Danio rerio: one gene and its partner. The protein of the gene in region 1 purifies or fractionates together with the protein of each later gene. This does not show direct contact. Links are inferred from orthologs where the notes say so. Each region holds a gene or a part of one and is shown in the gene's direction. Other genes may lie near its edges.

The links.
Region 2: the proteins of cdk7 (region 1) and gtf2h5 purify together in Homo sapiens (affinity purification with mass spectrometry; 7 studies listed by BioGRID and IntAct, with this or other methods). This does not show direct contact. The link is inferred for Danio rerio from reciprocal best matches to the Homo sapiens genes CDK7 and GTF2H5.

What each region holds. Positions count from the first base shown.
Region 1 is NC_133180.1:56,117,102-56,121,380, reverse strand, and holds the start of cdk7 (cyclin-dependent kinase 7), read left to right. Parts: upstream 1-1,387; 5' UTR 1,388-1,445; coding exon 1,446-1,511; intron 1,512-1,598; coding exon 1,599-1,658; intron 1,659-2,354; coding exon 2,355-2,388; intron 2,389-2,478; coding exon 2,479-2,546; intron 2,547-2,672; coding exon 2,673-2,741; intron 2,742-2,934; coding exon 2,935-3,045; intron 3,046-3,528; coding exon 3,529-3,647; intron 3,648-3,724; coding exon 3,725-3,824; intron 3,825-4,279. UniProt on the Homo sapiens protein: Serine/threonine kinase involved in cell cycle control and in RNA polymerase II-mediated RNA transcription. Cyclin-dependent kinases (CDKs) are activated by the binding to a cyclin and mediate the progression through the cell cycle.
Region 2 is NC_133195.1:28,728,758-28,733,036, reverse strand, and holds gtf2h5 (general transcription factor IIH subunit 5), read left to right. Parts: upstream 1-1,477; 5' UTR 1,478-1,595; exon of another isoform or gene 1,596-1,621; intron 1,622-1,753; 5' UTR 1,754-1,818; coding exon 1,819-1,853; intron 1,854-3,431; coding exon 3,432-3,612; 3' UTR 3,613-4,017; downstream 4,018-4,279. Other genes in the region: protein SERAC1, read left to right, coding at 232-368. UniProt on the Homo sapiens protein: Component of the general transcription and DNA repair factor IIH (TFIIH) core complex, which is involved in general and transcription-coupled nucleotide excision repair (NER) of damaged DNA and, when complexed to CAK, in RNA transcription by RNA polymerase II.

The sequences.
Region 1 (4,279 bases):
CACCCGCTCCTCTGTAAATGGCGTGTACAGACGCTGATCTGGGATCAGTTTATTGTACGAAGCGCATCTGTCAGTCAGCGCTTATACATGCATTCACTGGTTCATAGGTAGCATACACACAGTAATGTAAAAACATCTTTGCGAGGGAACGCAAAACATCTTTGCGAGGGAACGCAAAACTTTGCGAGAGAACGCAAAAAACTTAGAAATATATATTTTCCTCCCACCCATTTTTTTTCTTTCACCCATTATTTTTTTTTCACCCACCCATTTTTTTTCTCCCCCACTACGTCCCTTCCGGGGGTTCCGTAGTAACCCGTGTAGTGAAAAGGTTCAGCGCACACATCAACTTATCTAACTGAGCTATCGTTACTCAGATCCACAAATGAAGTGGTCTGTTTTAAGATCTTTGTCAGTCAAAACATGCTTTGCTGTGGTTATGGACCCGTGTTAACATGTTAATCATGAAACGCTTTCTTGGTGTAAATCATTTAAACTTGTTTAATTTGCTGGAATTCTATTTATGTAACCCTCTTTGTCTTTGTTTATATTATATCTTTGTAATGTTCTTTCTTGAAAAAAAAAAGTGGATGAGGAGATTCCCCCTATGTGTAAAGCGCTTTAAGTGCCAAGAAAAGCACTATATAAATGTAAGGAATTATTGTTGTTATTAAATATATATATATATATATATATATATATATATATATATATATATATATATATATATATATATATATATATATATATATATATGTGTGTGTGTGTGTGTGTGTGTGTGTGTGTGTGTGTGTGTGTGTGTGTGTGTGTGTGTGTGTGCGTGCGTGCGTGTGTGTGTGTGTGTACATTGAGTCGTAAGGGCGGGGCAAAAATTCTCACTAAAACCAAAAGTTGGCAGCTCTGCTTGGTACAAAACCTGACCCTAAAACTTACCTCTAACCTTAAATGTATAATTAACTAATATTATCAATTGCTTAGATACTAACGGTGTTGTATAAATCATACATGCATACATACATACATACATACATACATACATACAATTCATACATACAAGCCAGGATGTTTCTGAATGGTTTGACCAGGGTTTGACACGAAATGACGGTACAACTTTCGATTCCATGAAAGCAACCATTTGACATTAATCAAATAAGCAAATAATTTTAAACGTAATCAAAAATATTACATAAAAATAAAATAAATTAAGATTTTAGCAAGATACACACATGTAACAGATCTTTTGGCGATCAAAGAATTATTTAGCAATAATAAACATATTTTGTGCATTTTAAAAGACTACATCTTGCAAATACAAATGTTATTATTATTATTTTTACGGACGTTTTTTCATCTTATGGGACTTTTATTTTACCCGGAAGTATACAGTGCTCTTTAACGCAGAAGGAAGTGTGCTTTCACAAAGAACAAGTTTACAGTTGAAAAACATGGCATTAGATGTAAAGTCAAGGGCAAAGCGTTATGAAAAGCTGGACTTTTTGGGTGAAGGACAGGTAAACGACTAGATCTCATAATATGTCAAGTCATGAAGCAGTACAACATTCGATTTCACTCATGCATTGTGTATTATTTCACTGCAGTTTGCTACTGTTTACAAGGCAAGAGACAAAACCACGAACACCATTGTCGCTATCAAAAAGGTAAGAGACTGCATTTAATCCGTATGTTGTGGCAAACCACCATGCCTTAATAACTTATAATGCGTTCAAAATGCAGATATTCTTTTAGTTTTACGGGTCAGTATGTGTCTTATTGATCGTTATAATGTTGTAAAATAATGAATATTCTTTAACTGAAACTTATTAGCAACATTAATTAGTGAATGACTGTAAAATAAAAAGTAATAGGTTAAGATGTATTGTCTTAGACGATATAGACGATATCAATAACGTTACCAATGTTTTATCTTAAGAAGAATTGTTTTGTGGTGTCAACCCAATTTTCAAAAAGAAAAAAATAATAATTGAAGACAAAAACGTCTAGTAACAAAGATAAGGGTGTTATTTGCTTGTTTTTGTGTGTGTGTGTGTGTGTGTGTGTGTGTGTCTAACTCCAGGTTACTTAAAAACAGTATTTGACGCACATATTTCTAACAAGACAACGTCATTCAACATATTACAACTGTTATCTTTTGATTGGTTGTCTTTAGTGCAATAGATGTAATCATTAGGTGTATATGTTTGTTCATCATCAGAATTCAGTCGCAAAGTGTGTTAGATCATTCATGAAAAAGGCTGAAAGTACTGTATATAATGGAGTTTTTATGACAGCTTTATGCTTTTTGTTTATTAATTAATTCAGACTGTCATGTTAAAATGTAAGCTTCCTGTTTGCAGATAAAAGTGGGACACAGAACAGAGGCTAAAGATGGTGTGTTCCTTTTTTTTTTTATCTTTATTCATTTTTGATTGTAATTAAGTGAAGTCTTACACAAAATATCTTACTTATCTTGTTATCCAGGCATCAACAGAACAGCTCTTCGAGAGATTAAGTTGTTGCAAGAGCTCAGTCATCCAAACATTATTGGTGTAAGTCAGAGTGAGTGTTTGTGTGTGTGTGTTTGTGTTCATGCGCACATTCGTTAATTATACACAGATGTACAGTTTTTGATTGTGTACTCATGTTGACATCTATGAACCTGGTTTCTCTTTCAGCTCCTGGATGCTTTTGGACACAAATCTAATATTAGTCTGGTCTTTGATTACATGGAGACAGATCTCGAGGTGATGACACAGTAATCAACTTAGACATATATTGTTTATCTCAGTAATTTCCAACCTCACATAGCAAAACGGTTAAGAGCTTGTCAACACAGCTAAATTAGATTTTTACCCATCTTAATTGTTTGGTTTATACACACACACACACACACACACACCCACCCACATAAACTGTTGTTTGTGTTGTGTATTTCAGGTAATCATAAAGGACACCAGTCTCGTACTGACACCAGCCAATATAAAGGCATACATCCTCATGACACTACAGGGTCTGGAATACATGCACAATCACTGGATCCTGCACAGGGTGAGACCTATATCACAGATATATGATTTATGTGACTTACTATGTTCAATACGGGTGAATAGGATTTTTATTTAGCAGTTATGCATTACAGTGAAAAAAAAAAAAAAAGCTTCCCAATGTTTCTGTCCTGAAATAATTTTAAGTACCTTTTGTTACTTAAAAACTGCTGTTCTTTGTAGTTTGTTTTTTAAATTATTAACGGTCAAAATGAATGGTAGGATGAATCTTTACTTAAGCAGCAGTTAGAATGAGCCTATAGTATAGTGCAGTAAATCCATTTGAAGCACAAGAATAAATGACAGTTTAAACTATATTAAAATAATTAACTATTGTTTGTCAACATTCATTGTCCTTTGCATTTTTCAAATGCTTATATGCAGCCTTGGTTAAAATAAAAACGTTTTTAACTTCAAAATTTTAAAACTTATTCCAAAAACATCATGAAGAATCTGGGACATCAAATCATCATTGTTTCTTTCTCAGGATCTGAAACCCAATAATTTACTGCTGGATGAGAATGGAGTCTTGAAGCTTGCTGATTTTGGCTTGGCCAAAGCGTTTGGAAGCCCAAACAGAGTGTATACACATCAAGTTGTCACAAGGTTTGTACAAGTTTCAGATTTGTATACATTTTCTTTAATACTTGGATCTTGATGATGTTTGATGTTGTGTTCTTCAGATGGTATCGGGCTCCAGAGCTGCTCTTTGGTGCCAGGATGTATGGTGTAGGTGTGGACATGTGGGCAGTTGGCTGCATTCTTGCTGAGCTTTTACTCCGGGTGAGCATCTTATTTTATTCAGTGAAAGGAACCTTGTGGTGCCATCAAATGGCCCGTTTCAAATGGTATGGTTCAGTTTGGTACGCTTTTATGACAGTTTCCACTGTCAAAAGGCGTACCGAACCGTACAATACCATTTTTTTCGGCACCCTTTCGAAAAGGTACCAAACAAGAGAAAGGGTGCCAAAAGGCGGAGCTAGACACGCAGCTGAATGCTATTGGTTTACAGAGATAGGTCATTCGCTTGCGCAACAGGCCAGAATGAAAACAAAAGAGCTGCCATGTTTAATAGCACAGCCGAGAGATTACGCTGTAAATATATATATATATATATATATATATATATATATATATATATATATATATATATATATATATATATAATATCGAGCCATGGTCGACCCGGGCTCAAACAAACCTTGTCGTCGGCTTGATGAACAGCCACAATGCCAAAA
Region 2 (4,279 bases), on another chromosome or scaffold:
AGTTCATGGAGGGCTGCAACTCTGCAGTTTAGTTTCAACCCTAATTAAACACACCTAATCAAAGTTATTGAGTCCTTCGGGCTTGATTGAAACCTACAAGTAAGTGTGTTGAAGCAGGTTTGGAACTAAACTGTGCAGAGCAGCTCGGGGAATTGAGTTCGACACCCCTGGTTTATAATGATTGTTAGTTTTAGGTACCTGGTATCACGGTTTCCTCTTTTGCTCTTTCAGATCTGGGTATTGGAGACCTCATCCAGGTGGACGTTGATCACCTCAACATCTGCAAGCCAGAAAAGAAGGACACGTTTCTTTATAAGCGTACTTTACAGTTTATTCAGGATGCTCTTGGGGGACGTAGAATTAAGTGAAAGTCTTTACAGTTTCAATTGCTTTCTTAAGGATTTAAGCATCACTTTTTAAAAGATAGTGTTATCTATGACTGCCATGAAGGAAGGAAGTTTTACAATTGCAACTGGAGCTTTTTGGACATCTAAACTGTAATGTCCTGTACATTTGAAATACCACTGACATTTCACTTGTATTGTTATTATTATTTATGCTTGCCATATGAATATGTATTATGGTAAAATCCTTGTTTAACTTTTAATGTTTTACCCCTTCAAAGCCTTGTACTGTATATCATTTCAGAGTAATTTGAATGAGCACTTGTTAGCATTTATTTTAACTAGACATAACAAAAAAAAGGATTATCAAACTTAGTATGTTTACTACATCACTGCACATTTTTAAACTCAGTTTTATTTATAATATTTATTCTACTTGAACAAAATAGACATGCTAATGAAACCTTGCCTTGTTTTTTTTGGTTCACCAGCTTTCTTTCTACTACCTCAGACACACAAGTACTGATGTTGCTGTAATTGCCAATACATTTGTACTAATTCACTGACCACAGTACTTTATTTTGCCAAATCTTTGTCATGTGAATAAAGTTTTGAATCCAAACTTTCCTCTCCAAGAATAAACACTTTCACTGTAAAGCAGGGCAACACCGTGGCTTGTCCTGGATGGGTAAGTTGCCATTTCTGTATGGAGTTTGCATGTCCTCCCCGTGTTGGCATTGGGTTTCCGGGTGCTCCGGTTTCCCCAACAGTCCAAACTGCAAAGACATGCTCTATAGGTGAATAGTATATGAGTGTGAATGGATGTTTCCCAGTTAGGTTGCAGCTGGAAGAGTATCCGCTGTGTAAAACATATGCTGGAGAAGTGGGCCCTGATGAATAGAGGTACTAAGCCGAAGGGAAATGAACGAATGCACAGTAGCGGTATTGTAATGCAAATGAGTACTCTAATCTCTATGACACACTATTGTAACCGTTAAATAAAAAGGGATTAGTATTCGCAATTCAAAACAGATATGTCCCAAATAATCAAAGTCTTCAGGATTGCGAGAAACTTCCAGGTGGGTGTTGTACTTTTCTGTCAGGGTATGAGAGCAGTCAAATAGGATCTGAACTGCGCTCCAAGCCAGCAGAGGGTAGTGGAGTTGACTGGTCCAATACTAGTCGGTGAGTAGAGGAAAACCATTGTTTCTAAACGCTAAATAGTTTTCTGACACCAGTCACTGCAACAAAGTAAAGTGGCAAAAGACAATAAGAATGTTAGTGTGTATGTTTTAACGCTGTCTTTAAAGTATAGGTTTAAGAGCTGTAAACAAAATGTAAAATATTTGTAAGGACTAACGTCATTCATGGTGGACGGCTTTGTTGCTATTTCGTTTTCTCTCATACAGAGCTTTTACTGTACCTTTACTGAAGCAGCAGTAAGTTACGTTAGTGTTAACACACCCCGTCCAAAATGGTCAACGTGTTGAAAGGAGTTCTCGTTGAATGGTAAGTTTTACATACCACTGCCATTTAAAGCTGCACTGGTCATTTTACCTCAATACAACATTTAAACGAGAATCCAACGGTGGGTTTATTTAAGAAATGTGTTAAATCTAATGTGCTTACACACAATGTGGATTCATATCCGATTAGTAGAAAATAGGGCTGCACAATATATCGTTTCAGCATCGATATCGCAATGTGATCACAATGTTGAGTCTGGATTATAATTAATCATTTTGCTATAATGATTCGTTTTATTGACTTGTTTATAAAAAACAAAGACTATGCAGTATTATTTTACATCTGATTATTTAATTCATGTGTACCTGAATACATTTAGACTCTTCAGAAAGCAATAAAATGCTGTTTATTTAATTAGCAATTTTTTCTTTATTGAATTCATCTATGCTTGTAGGTTGCTTGTTATATGTTATGAATCATCCCAATCCGTCTAAAATTATAAATTATTTACAAACCGTTTTTTAACTAATCTGGTGAAATTGTATTCATATTGCAGTGTATATCACGGAATAAAAATTATTGCAATGTATATTTTTTCCAATATTGTGCAGCCCTAGTAGAAAAGTACTTTTATTTTACATTTTTACGCCACTAAAGCAATGTTGCTGAACAACTGTTCACTAACGTAAACGTTACTTGCGAGAATATAATTACAGTCGACAGATGGTTAACATTTATTCACTGTTAAACGGCAAAAATCAGTTCAAAGCATTTGAAAAATGTGGAGAAAATATTAAAAAGTCTTTATTCACATGGCTAATCTTTAAAAAACCTACGCGTTTCGGAAAAGAACAGTTCTTTGTTTTATAAAGGCAAAAAACTGTAGTTTTTTTATGTGAATAAAGGCTTTTTAAAATTTTTTCCATATTTTTCGAGTGCTTTGGATGGATTTTTGCTGTTCATTTTGATGAATCCCTTACCCAAAGAGCACCGATTATATAAGCTACCCCTGAGCACGTTTTGTTAGATTTTGGATTTATTCACTGTTACCTGTAACTAAAAACTTTTTCTTTACCACGAGGCAACATCCTTAGCACGGTATCGGATCAGTTAAACTTTCAAATTGTGCAGTATTTGTGAACTTAATTCTGTTTATTGTCACAATTTCGATGGTTTACTTCCTGAGAAGCAACTGAAAATAATTGAGGTAAAGTTATTTTTTTATATTTGTTCATTTTAAAGCTCTCTATATCGTTTACCACGCTAATTTGAATATGGGGTCTGAAATTTAATTTAAGTATGACTTCAAAACAACATTAGCACGATTTAACTGACAGTGAACAATGTTGTACTTTGATAGTTATTGGCTGCTTATATGATTTTCCTATTTAGAATTTGTAAAGAATACTTTTCTGAAATTATATTATAAGGAGAAAATCTGAATATGCAGGATATAAAACCCACTTTACCTCAATCTGAAAAAAGCCAGATGTCAATAACATCAAATACAGGCTTGACAAACCTCTATTCTTAGTGCACCTTTAAAATAAAAGTCATGCTCTAGTAGTAGTGCACCTTCATATATAATTCTCTCTCTTTTTTTTTTTAAATGTGACCCAGTGATCCAGCTATGAAGCAGTTTCTACTATATCTGGATGAGACGTCAGCTTTGGGGAAGAAATTCATCATCCAGGATTTGGACGACACGCATGTTTTCATCTTAGCTGAAGTTGTGCAGATTCTCCAGGAGCGAGTAGGAGAACTGATGGACCAGAATTCATTTCCCATCACCCAGAAATAAACATCTGAACCTTGACAGCAAGACCCTTCAGTCTGTGGGAGCAGATGGATGTGGAGATTCTTTCAGCACAATTGCACAAACACAGATGAAGCTGAAATATAGAGACGATGACTGCCTACAGGGATGATGATGTGTATTCTCTTTGGTTTAGTTTGACTGCAAAGTTCTTTTATCTGAAAAAAGTATAACTTTAAACTGTTTATGTTTTTAAAGACATATGTTTAAAAGACAGAGGCTGTCCTGTGTTTTGAAAGTATTGTTTTACATGCAAGATGGCATTGCCTACAAATAGTTATGTTTTACTGAAAGTATATGTCATACTGAATGCAGACGGGTGATGTCTGTGATTTAACTTCATGCATAATATGCTTAGTGTCAAATAAACAGAAGAATTCAACTAAAGTATTTAATGTGTTCTTATTCATTTGTCTCCTCAAAACATAGGATTTAATTTGATCTACTCTGTGGTATTGCCAGTTTGTGTAGGTTTAGGTTCCCTTCCTGTTTATGTTCTACAACACCAATACAAGCCTTCAATATTTGATCCTGAAACTGGTAAAAAGATTTTACCTTGTGGTGAAGGGAAAATTAAAAGAGTGAACTGCATTCGATTTGAAAAATATCCAGCATGTCTTAAAGAGGAAGTAAAAGTGGTGTGATGCACTCA